2 linked regions of the Astyanax mexicanus genome follow. The protein of the gene in region 2 interacts with the protein of the main gene of each other region in a pairwise test. Links are inferred from orthologs where the notes say so. Each region holds a gene or a part of one and is shown on either strand. Other genes may lie near its edges.

What was found.
Region 1: the proteins of rbfox1 (region 2) and atxn2 interact in binary tests that used the Homo sapiens proteins (3 or more experiments, as listed by UniProt). The link is inferred for Astyanax mexicanus from reciprocal best matches to the Homo sapiens genes RBFOX1 and ATXN2.

Annotation. Positions count from the first base shown.
Region 1 is NC_064429.1:14,079,879-14,087,458, forward strand, and holds the start of atxn2 (ataxin-2), read left to right. Parts: upstream 1-4,491; 5' UTR 4,492-5,013; coding exon 5,014-5,117; intron 5,118-7,580. UniProt on the Homo sapiens protein: Involved in EGFR trafficking, acting as negative regulator of endocytic EGFR internalization at the plasma membrane.
Region 2 is NC_064426.1:5,886,239-5,893,181, reverse strand, and holds the start of rbfox1 (RNA binding protein fox-1 homolog 1), read left to right. Parts: upstream 1-3,906; 5' UTR 3,907-4,462; coding exon 4,463-4,561; intron 4,562-6,943. UniProt on the Homo sapiens protein: RNA-binding protein that regulates alternative splicing events by binding to 5'-UGCAUGU-3' elements. Regulates alternative splicing of tissue-specific exons and of differentially spliced exons during erythropoiesis.

The DNA of each region.
Region 1 (7,580 bases), on a different chromosome or scaffold from region 2:
GTTGTGATTCATTGCTCTCATCAATTGCACTCATCACTGACCTTGCGTGTAAAGCCACTGTTGTGCCGAATTCTGCACCCCCGTCAGGAAAAGCACCACCTCTCGAGAGCGCACACCCACATCTTCTGGGCTTTAACTTTGTTGGAAATACCCAAGATACTGTTCTAAGCTATGCTGACTCGTAAAAAAATAAGGAAAGAGGCACCCCCGCCATGAAAAGCACCCTCTCTCGGCATCGCGTATGCACCGTTTTATTGAAAATAATTGCTTGAAGATAATTGCTTTAGCTAACTTTACTTAGAAACGCGCTTCGGAGAGGGAGTGATTTTCATAGCGGGGGGTGTGCTTTCTAAATAAAATTTATTTTAAAACAATTAGATTTTTTTTTAAATGAAAATACAAATACCCTTTTGACTTTTTTTCACATGTGCAAAAATATCATGAAAAAAATTCTAAATAAAATGCAGTTACTTAATTTGAAATTTAACCCTAAATGTTTGTTTTTTACACCATTTTATCCCATTAATTAATTAACTAACTAACTAACTTACATCTTACAATCGCCTAAAAGTTGATGACTGAACAGCTCCTTCCTACCTGCACTCACTCCTGAAGGCTTACGCTACCTCCCGGCCGCTGCGCTCCTCCAATGAACGTCGCCTCGCTTTACCAAACAAACTTTCACACAAAGCAATCCAGACTGTTCTCATACAGAGTTCCCCAAATGGTGGAACAAACTACCTTCCACTACCAGATCAGGAGAATCTCTCACTATCTTTAATAAACTCCTGAAGACAGAGCTCTTCAAAGAGCACTTACTCCCCTAACACCTCTAACTAACTACCTTCTACTACCAGATCAGGAGAATCTCTCGCTATCTTTAATAAACTCCTGAAGACTGAGCTCTTCAAAGAGCACTTACTCTCTTAACACCTCTAACACACTAACTACTTCTAACCTCATTTCCTTCTTCCCCTCCTTCACTCCTCTATCCCATTATTTACCTTTGACCTTCTTTAGGCCCTATTTAAAGATGTTTTTTACCTTTAACTTCTATTACTCTATGTACATCATTATTATAAGTCGCTTTGGACAAAAGCGTCTGCCAAATGTAATGTAAATACTTGCTTGCTTACTTATCCATTTATTCATCTCTATGTCCAATACAATGAGGCGTATCAGTGGGTCATAAATAAAAATATGTTTGTATGCAAGAATATGTAAAGAAGTATATTTGGCTGATTCATACATTATTGTTAGAAATTTGCCTTTTGCCGTTAGACCACTTCTGTAAGGTGATGAGGCATGAACTCTCTGGTTCTGGAGACTTTCTCCTTCCCTGCATGTTTTGGTGCTCCCTTAGTCTGAAACATCTGATTCAAAATATTAGCTTGCTATCAAAAGTCAAAATCTAAATGTAGGTTTGCTATATCCAAAGGGACACCTGAACTTCCAAATATTACATTTTTTGCTCCTAAAAGATGTAATTATTCACTCAAGCACAGGTAGTATGAGACAAAAATTCAATTAAATGAAAAAAGTTGACATTTAATTTTCATTAACACACTTGTATTTCATGGTGAAATCCAAAATTAAAAGCTGAATAGAAAAAGGAACACTTCACTTTCGCTTTATAAGCACATAATAAGTGTCAAAATGAAAATGCAATATGCACTTATCTTTTTCTTTTCAACTGTGATGAAAAATAAAGGCAAACCGTCAGGTTAGGATTCAGCTTCAAGTGGCAAAAAAAGAAATAAACTTGGAAAGCGCCACCTTGTGCTGATTTAAGCTGGGCATATGTAAATATATGTTAATTAGCAGTGGGCAGTGCCTCCTGATGCAGCATTTCATATATGGGAGTTCATGGAGTATGTGTTATTAGGAACTGCTAGCTAGTGAAATCATGATCTCTGTGGATTTGTTGTGAAATGACTGTATACTGATAGGGGATGGAGGTCTAAAACGCTTAATGTAAAAAGCCTTAACATGTTTTCTTATCACTGAAACCTCTCATAAGGAAAAAGTTTAACGTGGCTTAATATACTAAAACAACAAGTAAATAAGCAATATGTGGTGCTTTTCACTTTCATTTTTATTTTGACATTTATTATGCTACTCATAAAAAAAAACAAGCCAAAGTAAAGTTTGAGGTTTTTCTATTAACCTTTTCATTTTGGATTTGACCATGAAATACCAATATGTTCATTAATGTTAATGAAAATAAAATGTCACTAACTTTTTTATTTAATCCTCCACAGCAAAGTGTTGCCTCAGGTAACAAGCCAAACTTTTGTTTATTACACCATATCAATTACACCACCGCTTTGCCTTATTTAAATTTTTTTTAAACAATGTTGCAATACATATCTACGTCCAATACAATGAGACGTACAGGTGGGCCAAACAAAAAAAATATGTATGCAATAATTTTTTTCATTCTTGTTGTAAACTTACTTAAACAGTGTTTTTGTTGGGCAACGTTATGCAAATAGACCACTTTTATTAAATTAATCATGATAAAGCAGTGGTTCACATTTTCTCACGAAAAATGCCACCGTACATCACACAAATGCTTATTAAAAATGATACAACTTATCAGACTCGCTCCAGTGACTGGATCAAGTGGGAAAATCTGCTTTTAGCTACAGTGCAGCACCAGCGAGCTGGAATTCACTACGGGAAACACTAAAGCTTAGCTTAATGGTGTCACAAAATAATAAACTCCTATTCTGAAACCACCTTCATTTTTGTTACCTTTGATTTTCTTACCTATGATTGATAAATTCCTACTAAATTCTTATTTTTATTTTATTTGTTTTATATCTTATTTCAAAATATCTTGATTGATTATATGATTAAAAAATACAATTCATGACATAGAGGGTTACATTTTATTTTTAGCACAGACTACCCGTGCTTGAGTGAATAATTAAATTGCAAATAAGTTTTATTTAATGTTATTTTTAATTTTCACACGTTTGGACAAATGAATGTTAAAAAGAGCATTTGCATTTTATTCTTTTCAATTCTGTTTTATTTTTGGCTGGATCAATCTCCCATCGGATTGACAGTTCTGACAGTGTCAGTGAATCAGTGTCAGCGAATTGGTTTCATTAAATCAGTATCAGTGAAACGGTGTCAGTGAAACGGTGTCAGTGAGTCGGTGTCAGTGAGTCGGTGTAAGTGAAACGGTGTCAGTGAGTCGGTGTCAGTGAAACGGTGTCAGTGAGTCGGTGTCAGCGAATTGGTGTCATTAAATCGGTATCAGTGAAACGGTGTCAGTGAGTCGGTGTCAGTGAAACGGTGTCAGTGAGTCGGTGTCAGTGAAACGGTGTCAGTGAAACGGTGTCAGTGAAATGGTGTCAGTGAATCGTGTCAGCGAATTGGTGTCATTAAATCGGTATCAGTGAAACGGTGTCAGTGAATCAGTATCAGTGAATCGGTATCAGTGAAACGATGTCAGTGAGTCGGTGTCAGTGAAACGGTGTCAGTGAGTCGGTATCAGTGAGTCAGTGTCAGTGAAACGGTGTCAGCGAATTGGTGTCATTAAATCGGTATCAGTGAAACGGTGTCAGTGAATCAGTATCAGTGAATCGGTATCAGTGAAACATGTCAGTGAGTCAGTGTCAGTGAAACGGTGTCAGTGAGTCGGTGTCAGTAAATCGTATCAGTGAGTCTGTGTCAGTAAGTCGCTGTCAGTGAATCGGTATCACTGAATCGGTATCAGTGAAACGGTGTCAGTGAGTCGGTGTCAGTAAGTCGGTATCACTGAATCGGTATCAGTGAAACGGTGTCAGTGAGTCGGTGTCAGTTAGTCGGTGTCAGTGAATCGGTATCAGTGAATCGGTATCAGTGAAACGGTGTCAGTGAGTCGGTGTCAGTAAGTCTGTGTCAGTGAATCGGTGTCAGTGAGTCGGTGTCAGTGAGTCGGTGTCAGTGAATTGGTGTCAGAGAGTCGGTGTCAGTGAAACGGTGTCAGTGAGTCGGTGTCAGTAAGTCGGTGTCAGTGAATCGGTGTCAGTGAATCGGTGTCAGCGAGTCAGTGTCCCTGAATCAGTGTGAGTAAATCGGTGTCAGTGAATCGGTGTCAGTAAAAAAGGTGTTAGTGAATAGGTGTCAGTGAGTCGGTGTCAGTGAATCAGAGAAAGAGATTCGGTGTCAGTGATTGAGTGTCAGTGAATCGGTGTCAGTGAATGAGTATCAGTGAATCGGTGTCAATGAATCGGTGTCAGTGCTGTTCAGGGTCTCTCAGAAGCCGGCTGAGCTCACGTGGCTGCCTCAGCACTACTCTGCTCCGCTCCCACGGTGATCTGTTAACTTCCTGAAAATAGTGCGCCACGTTTGGTCGCACATCTATCAAAACTCGGAAAAGACAACAAAATCCCGCAAACCTGAGCACGACCTGCGGCTCAGGGGAGGGAACTGCGCTTATTTTTTAAGTGTTTCTTCAGTGTCAATCTGAATTTTAAGAGTAGATAACTGCACGGCTGGTGTGTGTGTGTGTGTGTGTGTGTATGTGTGTATCCCTCCGCTACATTTTGTGTCTTTTCAGACTGTTTAGGTCTTTGAGAGCAGCGGGGCGCCTCAGTGTCAGCCGATACTACAGCTCAGAGATACAGACTCAGAGGGGTTTACTAGCTAAGCTACATTAATTCAGAGCGCATACAGCTGGAGAAAATCAACAGCCTGCAGCAGAAGCTCTCCTTCAGACAGTGTTTCTGTTATAAGGAGGAAAAGACACGCTAGCTAAGCTAAGCTCGCTGATTTAGCTCTGGAGTAGAGGCTGTAGCTGAAGGACTCAGTGCGGCTAGGCTAGGCTAGTTAGCTAGTAGGCTAACATTAGCTGTCATTCGTTAGCTAAGCTAGTTAGCCGTTAGCTCCTCTGTCAATAAGTCAGGCAGGATTTCAGCGTGTCGTGCTCTGCTGTTGTCGGCAGCGCGTAGGACAGATTTCCCTCCAAACACTTAAAGCTAGAAAACTCCGCTTAAAGCTGTCGTTTATGGGATAACCATGTCAATGAAGCAGGCCGGTGGTAATCGCAAACCCGGCGGGATCAACAGCGGGGCTGCTGCGGCCTCCGGAGCTGCGGGCTTCGGACGGCAGAGTTTGGGAAGGTGGGTGACAGCCTGCGTTTCTGTGTGACAGTTCTGAATACATGAACACCGCGACCCTCACACACACTTACAGCCCTCAGCGTGGTGTTAAAACACTGCAGCCCGCGGTACTCCGCTGTTCAGCGGCCGAGAAAGCGCTGTTAGCGGGCTAGCTTAGCTGCTGGTAGTGGGGTTATAGGCCGGAGTGAGCCAGGCACGGGCAGGACAGAGAGGTGTTTATTAGGCCGGGTTTAGACAGCGGGACGGGGGTTCACACACTCGCCTACTAAAATGTGCTGCACCCACTGTAGTTAGCTGTACACATCCATCCAATTAACTAACTAACTAACTAGCCACTGAAATAATCTGCCACCTAATTATTATTCATTATTAATTCAACTGCATAGCCGTTATTGAGATTTCATTTCAATATTTGTAGATACGGTCTGTGTTTTGTTTTCATTCTCCTTCACATAACTTCTGTTAAATCTACTATTACCTCTAGATAATGATTTGGTATCTCACAAACTGATTTAGAACCTTAACAAAATGGTTTAGTATCTTTAAGTAATTATTTAGTATCTCAAAATAATGATTTAGTATCTCCTAGTAATTATTTAGTATCACAAATAATGATTTAGTTGTTTTTTAATTAGATCATCTGAAAAACGACTTAGTCTGTTAAAATAATTATTTGGTATCTCATAATGAAAAAGCTTCTCGCAAAAACAACATAGTGTCTCAATAAGATCGCATAACAGAAATATGAATTAGTATCTCAAAAATATGAGAGCATCTAAAAACGACTTAGTGTCTCATAATAATGAGGAAGAATCTAAAATAATGATTTAGTATATCAAATAAGGTTTTTATAAACATAAAAAAATGATGTATCTCAAAGTAATGAGACTCGATCACATTATAATTTGAATTACATTTTGTAGTAATAAATTGTACTTATAGATGTTTTGTAGATATCGGCAATTGAAATATTTACTAGTAAAAATGTAGTAATGGATAAGAGGGAGTGAGATTACATGTAAATCAAGTGTAGTATATGACTAGTCAAAATAAAGTAAATGTCATTTTGGTAACATGACTAAACCTTTGAGTTTGCGTTTGAATTTGGTGTGATTTTAAGCTAAAATGGCTTGCTGTAGTTTATTGTCTGGTACAGTGTAGATGTTGCTTGTTCTGTGGCTGGGTAATTTGTACAGGGTTCTGCTTTGCTGCAGGTTCGGCAGGCATGGATTTTAAGTTTGATGAAAAAAAGTGTCAAGTCAGCGCAGTGTGTCTGTGAGCTAATGGCTTTTCTTGCCACATTCCATGTGAACAAGCTTCATGTCAGTAGGTGCAGCTGGTAAATACAGTTGTCATTTTTGTAATTGATTTAAATCCTTTTGTTTTCTTTTCTGCTTTATGAAAATTTATTATGTGTCCCTCAACATCTATTTTTGATGAGGATAACACTGATTGATTTGTTTTTAAACTTAGGAGACCTATCAGGATGTAAATCTTGCCTAATAAGCACATGAGAAGACCAATCAGGATGCTCTCACAGTCAGGCTCATCTGTCATTTATTTGATTGCTCCAAGAGTGCTCCAAGATTTGTGAACGTCATAGATCTAATACAAGTATGCATATGCTAGTCCCAGGATATGTGGGGTGCCTGTTAGTATAATATTAGTTAATAACATAAGTAAACTAATACAGATCAGAAGGTATCTGACTATGTTATGATTTACTAAACCATTGTGTTGTTTTGGCCTAGCAATTTGTGTGTGTGTGTATGATGAGAACCTTGCAGCACCTTCAGGATTCACAGTTAACCAGAATGATATATAACGTAACCTTTTATTAAAGTTTTTTTTGGTTAAAATCTTCATGTAATGGGTTAAAGTCCTCTCTATATAATAAGTGACACTTCACTGTGGGGCACTGTGTATATGGCTACATAACCCTTAACTCATTCCTTATTAAGGAATGAAGGGTGCAGAATGCAACTTTCAGCATTTTCTGTGACTCCTCTGCTGAAATACCTATCAAGTGCTTTTGAGGTAACACTGACATGAAAAAGTTTACTTGTGTCTCTGTGTAAAGGTTTAAAAATACTAATTTGTGCCTAATTTATTAATTTGGGAATTAGTAATGTAAAAATCTCCCTTTATCGAAGTGTTAAGAGAAGTGCTAATAATTTACCATAAGTACCATAAGTTACCATGTAGTTTAAAAATGATTCTTGTCACAGTAATATGGTAATTTAAATATTTAATTTCTAAATCATAAATTTAAATGTTCATTTGTTTGAAGGTGGTAACTGAGTAAGACAGTTGCACTGTTGGTGGTATTCAGAAACTCAGAAATCTGCAGTGGTTTATGTGTTTTTTAAGATGATGAAAATTATTTGCAATGCTTCTACAGCATAATTTGTAGAAGACCATAATTAAGACTGTGCCAAAGACCCATGTACATTATTTTTTAGA
Region 2 (6,943 bases):
GATACAGAGGGAAGCATGGGTATAGGGGACGAGGGAAGGCGTGGCATGTGAAGCCCGGCGCAGATGACAATTCTCGAACACGGGTCGGCGCCCGGTGCGACTATTTTTTGCAGCGGGAGGCGCAGAGGACAGGCCGGAAGAGAGACGGAGAGGAAGACAAAACGTGTCTGTAGTCAGGGAAGGGGGGGGTAGAGTTTAAAAAAATAAAGCATCCTTGCCTGAAGGCATGAAGAAGGGAGGAGAAGCAGGAGTAAAATAGAGCAAAGCGTTCTGCTGCCCTCTCTATAATGCACGCGTTCATCCTCCTCCAGCTCCGAAGAAGGCCTTTCTCTTTTTTTTAATTACGCACCCTTGTGCAACATGGAGCGCCATCGATTTTCATGACTTTGTTCTATTATAGTAACAAGCGTCTGAAGCCTTCTTACCCGAGTGCCGTCGGTTCGCGATGTCGACTCGCGTAGTAGCGCTGGGGGGCGGGAGGAAGGGGGGAGGGGGGGGGGGGGGTAGAGAGAAAAAAAACAGATAAGTAAGATTAAAGAAGGAGAACATGAATAATTCACACTCTCTTCCCCACCAAACTGTAATGTCATGTTTGCCGTTGTTGGTTAGACCTTGGATCCGCACTTGAATCAAATATCAGCCTTTTTTTTTCCCCTCCTAATACAACATGTTTTTATCACTATTAATGGATCTTCAAGGTGTTGTTGTGTGTTATAGGAGTCGGTTTAGGCAATTTTGCCTGATTTGACTCCAAACTGCTCTGGACTCTGAATGCTAACCACCGCGTGCTGCTGCAATGAATTATTTACTGCTGCGTGTGCCACCCTGCTTCAGGTGAATGGTGGGTTTTGGAAGCTGTGAATAGAGCAGGCAAAAAGAGTGTTTTTTATTTTTATTTTCCACAGGCCCCTCAGTACCTGCCTCGTTTTTCTCTGGTCAGACTGGCATTTTACGAATAAGAGGCTCTTCTCACATTTAATTAATGATGTGCCTACCCTTAAATAATGGAGTTAAAGGAGTTATTTATTATTAGAGGTTGAACACTCTTGCATGGGGCCTTCAGCTTGTCAGAAAGAAAGAATTCTAGCACTTACTGTATATTGGATCCAGGTATTGTGCTGTGAAAGTAATCTTTATGAAAGTAGTATGGAGTTAGTTGCATTCCTACATTAAAAGACCTTAAAAGAGGTTTTTACTTAGTATTGTAAGTATTGTTATTAGGCTCGTAACAACAGTGGACGCCTTGTTTTGGTGCAGTTTAGGAAAATTTCTTAAACTGTAATTTTTTTGTTTGTTGTAGCTGCAGAACAATTTAGTTCACTTATTAGACACAAGTCAATTATTGTCAAATGCAGTGGTCTAGCAGTCTTAAGCACTGCTACTATGATCGGGAGATTGCATGTTCGAATCCCGGTCATGCAGCAGTTGGAAAGTGTGGAGAAGGTGGCTGACTTCACATGTATCAGAGGGGGCATGTGCTAGTCATAACTAGTGATGCAGGATATACAGTTGGCTAGCAGCTAAATTAACATAAATTTAACGCTTATTTTATTTGTTTTTTTTTGTTTGTTTATCTGCCTTTGCTTATCAAATGTAACCCTTACTAAAACCCTCACCCACTTTAATCCCCTAAGACCCGTACTCTTGCATTGCATGCATTTTTTATTTCTTTTTGCTGTTTGGGCTAATTGGCTCCTGATTAATGGGAAAACAAAGAATTATCTTTTTACATGATGTAGTTTCTGAGAAAAAAAAAATATGGGTTACATAGGTTTATATTTTGATAGAACAAAATATTCATTTAAATTTCTGAACAAAATCCAGACTGCAACGTGTTAAAATCTACTGACAGTATAATGTCCTCATAAGAGGACACCAGGCTCTTGTAGAGCAAAATTTAGTGTTGTGGTCTAGACAACCCAAAATGTGATGTCCACACATGTGGACGCCAGGTCCTAGGAGGTTAATGAATGTGTATGTTTGTTAGTACATGCTTGAGAATCACCTTGATAGAAATGTGAGACATTTTCTAATGCTGATTACAGGATGGATTCAGGACAGGTATTCTGGGACAGTGTGTTAGGTCATACAGGACATGTATGTCATGGGCTGTGAATGACAAAGCCATTTTTAATTCAAGGTGTCTGCTAGAAATACTATATTTGTACCTCCATAATCCTGTTTTGCTCCCTATTTTTTTTTCAACTCATTTACACTAGTATACATCAGCTGAATACAAATGAGGAGTTTTTTAACATGTCCCCTCATTGCCTGAAGGCTGACAGATGGACACACTGTAAGCTTCGGTTCTATATAGTACTGAAACAGAGTTCTTTGGCATGTAAAAATAGTGGAACTCTTTTTTGTGTGTTAGAATATTTTAAAAATCACAAAGCACTGGAACACTGCACTTACTTTTTATATTGTACACCATAAACCAATCATCTCGAGTATAAAAAACCACCTGTCCCCCTTGTGCCACTTAAAGCAGCAGTTCTATGTGTTTTTCTTTTAAGCTAAAAGTATTAGTGCTGCTGAGTAGAAAGAGGACCAACTGTTCTAACTAATTTATTCTCTAAATCCACAAAACTTGACTGTCGCTTTTAAAGAGCTCTGACCTGTAAAGGCATCAACTCCACAAGACCTCTGAAGGAAATCTGTGGTATCCTCTGGTACCAAAGCCAAGAACGTTAGCAGCAGATCCCTTAAGTCCTTAGAGTTGGGAGGTGGGACCTTCACTGATCTTATCAGTGAGCCTTGGGAGCCCTTGACCCTACTCGCGGTTCACCAGTTGTTCTTTCCTGGAGCACTTTTTGTAGATATGCTTCACAAGAACACCTTGGCATACCCTGAGGTTTGGGAGATTATGTGAACCTCCAGTAATCTACCCATTAATGTTTGCTTATTGCCAAAGCATCTCTTTAGTATTATGCTGGAAAAGTGTTTAACACACCAGCGTTAATAACTGGCTTTATATATCATTGTATTAAATGAGTAATATAGGAAAAATATGAAAAAAAAAAAAACAGTAGAGTAAAGAAGGCTTTTCCCTGGTTAATGTTCATAACTTCTTCCCTCAACCATTTAACCAAGTCCAAGTCTACATCCCGCTGTAATATTTGTTTTTACTGCATTTCCCTTAACTCATTCACTCTAATAGAAATACTCAGCCTAAAATAGCTGTGTAATATTAATAATAACCAAACACCTGCCATAATAACCCAACCCAGATGGTTCGGATGAGTTGGAGCGAAAAGTGAACAAGCTTGTTTGTGTTTTGCCATTTAGCACAAGCTAACACTAATCATCAAGATGTATTTGCATAAAAGTGACAGAGCCCTTAAAGTATTAATCAGCTGAAATGAATGAATAAATAAATAAATACATAAATAAATAAATACAGCTTCAGGTCAGAAAAGACCACTTAAAAAATTTGAGTTTCTTTAATTTTACCCAGTGAAAAACCTATGGAATATAATCAAGAGGAAGGTGGATGACCACAATCCATCAAATCAAGCTGAACTGCTTGAATTTGTGCACCAGGAGTGGCATAAAGTTATCCAAAAGCAGTGTGTAAGACTGGTGGAGGAGAATGAATATAAACTTGTTTTCTTTGCATTATTCAAGGTCTTAAAGCTCATAGAAAAGCTTTTTTTGTTATTTCAGCCATTTCCATTTTCTGTAAATAAATGCTCTAAATGACAACATTTTATTTGGAATTTTGGAGAAATGTTGTCCGTAGTTTATATAATAAAACAACAATATTCACTTCAAACATAAATAAACAACCCTCCCACGGCGAGCATTACTCCGCCCCCAGCCCTTATGGCGCATCTCTGATTGGCTATCTCTCGCCGAAGTCCCGCCTCCGCCCGCCTCGAGCGTTCCATTCCACGCGGAGCTTCATACATACGCGCGCGCGAAAGTGGCGCTCTCGCGGATGAGGGAGAGCCGTTAGCGGAGCGGCGGTTAGACTCAGTCAGGCTCAGTGTGTGTTTGTATACAGTGTGTGTACAGGCTTCTCCCAGCTGCTAAAGTTCGCTTTAAACACCCGGAGACGCTAGCTTTTCACCGCTTACCGTCAGCGGGAAGCGGGTTAGTCTGTATTTAAGAGGATAACCTGCTTGTTTGAGCGCGTTTGGACCGGAACCGGTGGAAAAACAGACAGAAACTGCGAACTAAAGAGAGCAGGCTGCAGCTCCGAGCCTAGGAACCAAAAACAGAGAGATAAAAGGTTCATTCTGAGGTAAATTTCAGTAGTTTTAGGTGATATTTCTGTAATTCGGAGGTTTAAAACCCGGTTAAACCCGCTTCGTCTTTTTCAAACCGCAAAACAACCGTTGAAGACAAAGCCAGGCGCTCGAGCGCGGACCGCGAGCCGAGACACGCGCGCCTCACCGCCTCCGCCTCCTCCACCGTTCCCGCTCAGCCCGGCGGCGCTGCCTCAGCCTCCAGCCCAGCCATGCAGCATCCCCTCGCGGGCGGCCCGTGCGTCGCTCTGCCCCGGGTGGACGTGTGTCCGCAGCTCTCCTGTGCCTTGACGTTCATGTACTTACAGCAGGTGAGTGGATGGAAGGATGGGTGAGTGTGCAGAGAGAGAGAGAGAGAGAATGAGTGAAAACTGAACGGGAGTAGTGCTGCTACGATTAGTCGGCACAATCGACAGAATAATCAACTTCAAGATCAACAATATGTATAATATATATAACAATATATAGTCAATGTTGACTAATAATCGTCAGTGTATGTATACTGCACTTCACACTACACTACACTAGAGTTAAAAGCTGCTCAGCCACTCACCAATTAGTCGATTAGTCAGCATAATCGACTTTGTTGATTAGAAATATTTCAATCTTTACTAATAAACTGCTTTTTTATCCCATGCACTTTCTTTTTATAGAAAGTAACTAAACACTTCTAAAATGTTTGAATTCACTTTGAATGCTTCCTTCAAAGAGAATTTTACACAGTATTGTTTAAGTTGTTTTGCTATTTTTAGTAGTTTCTACCCTGATACTGTTAAAATAGGATGCAATAATTACATTATCAACTTATATACATGTTATATACATTACCTGCTGACCTCTATATTAGAGTATTATTAGTGTTTAATTGACAAGACATCATGTTAAAATTGTTTAGGATATTAAATATAGCATATTTTAAGTTCCAGTTCCATTGTGTAAATAATGTAAATAATAATTAAACATATTTATTCCATGCTCTTATTTTTGTAGAAAGTAACTAAACATGTCCAAAAATGTTTGACTTCACTTCCTTCCATTAAAGAGAATATTACACAATATTGTTTCTTAAGCTTTTGTTTTGCTTTTTTTTTTTTAATCTGTTACTGTTACAATAATTACATTATTGTACGTTTTTTTTTTCTAATTTATACACATTACCTCAAAATAGTCAGTTCCAGTTTCAATGTCTAAATACTCTTAATAATTCAAAGTATTTTGCTTTGAGTAAAGTAATGAGTAATGCATTATTATCCTGAAGTATTAGCATTTTATAATTGGCATTAAACCGTTCCCAAAATGAAAATAATGTCAGTATTCAATCACAGTTATTTCTTGGACAAAACATAATCTACAACTTTTTTTTTATAATGACAGGCCTAGTATTCAGGCTCAGACAGTGTACTGCAATTGCAATTCATTTTTTTAAAAATGAATAAAAAAAAAACTATATAAACAGTACTTTTATCTTTTCAGTAAGTTTGTTAGTGTTTACAATACTATATAAGATATGTTTTTACTTTTGTTTGCAATTCGTTTGCAAGATGATTCTAAAAATAAGTAATTTAACTTTACTATAAATGTGTCTGTCTCTAATAGTGTATTTAAATTGCTGTTGAAAGCAACTGTTTATAGTTTTACTGTACACTTTATTTTTTTGTGATTCAGAGCTGAGGATTGATTTAATAGCCCATTATATAAAATGGTCAAAAACTACATAAACAGTAAGTTGCCTTTTTGTAAATGTAGTTTCAGTGTAGTTAGTGTATACACTATTATGTTAAACAAATCAATCTAAACATTATTAAAATTGTAAGACATTATAGAGTGAAACTATATTGACATTTTTAATGACCAATTATGATTAAGTCAAATGCATGAACACCTAATTAAACAAAGCAGTGTAAAGTTGGTGAGACATGCTTCAGTGTGAACGATGCTTAAATTCACCATCATCATTAATGCAACCTAAAACATCACCTGATTCCTCTGATGTTGTGGTATTATGTTACCAGTGTTGTGATACTAGTAAGTTACTAACATCACTTAACACTTAATACAAGACACCTTTATTTGTGGTTTAATGTGGTTTTACATGTATATATTTATATATAATACATGTGAAACTCCTGTTTTTGTAGTATGATTGCATAGTGTAACTGTAGTTTTAACATTGTAGTTTTTAAAGTGTGTCATCATTTTATGTTGGACTGTCCAATGGAAATGCCCCAAAATGGAATTAAATATTTTGACATTGACTTCTATTGGAAGTTTAGAAGGTTGATGTAATGTAAATGCTAAGAGTCTGCCGGATTTATACACTGATCAGCTGCATAATATTAGCACCACCATTTAAGGCAGAGTCCCATGATATCTGGCGCCAAGACATACATTAGCAGCAGATGCTTACAGATAAGTCATGTAAGTTTTGGAGTGAGGCCTCCATGGGACACATCAGTGAGTCTTAGGTGTCCATAACCCTGTTGTCAGCTTACTGGTTGTCCATTCTTGGACAACTTCTAGTCGATTGAGACTAAAGGGCAGCACAATATTGGAAGATCTTTACATTGTGATATTTTGTTGTTCTGCAATATATATTGCAATATTAAAAATCTGCAATCTGTGTATCAAAGTGTATCTCATTTAAAATGAGAATGATGTGATTTTCATCTGTTTCAAACTGCAAAAAAAGTAAA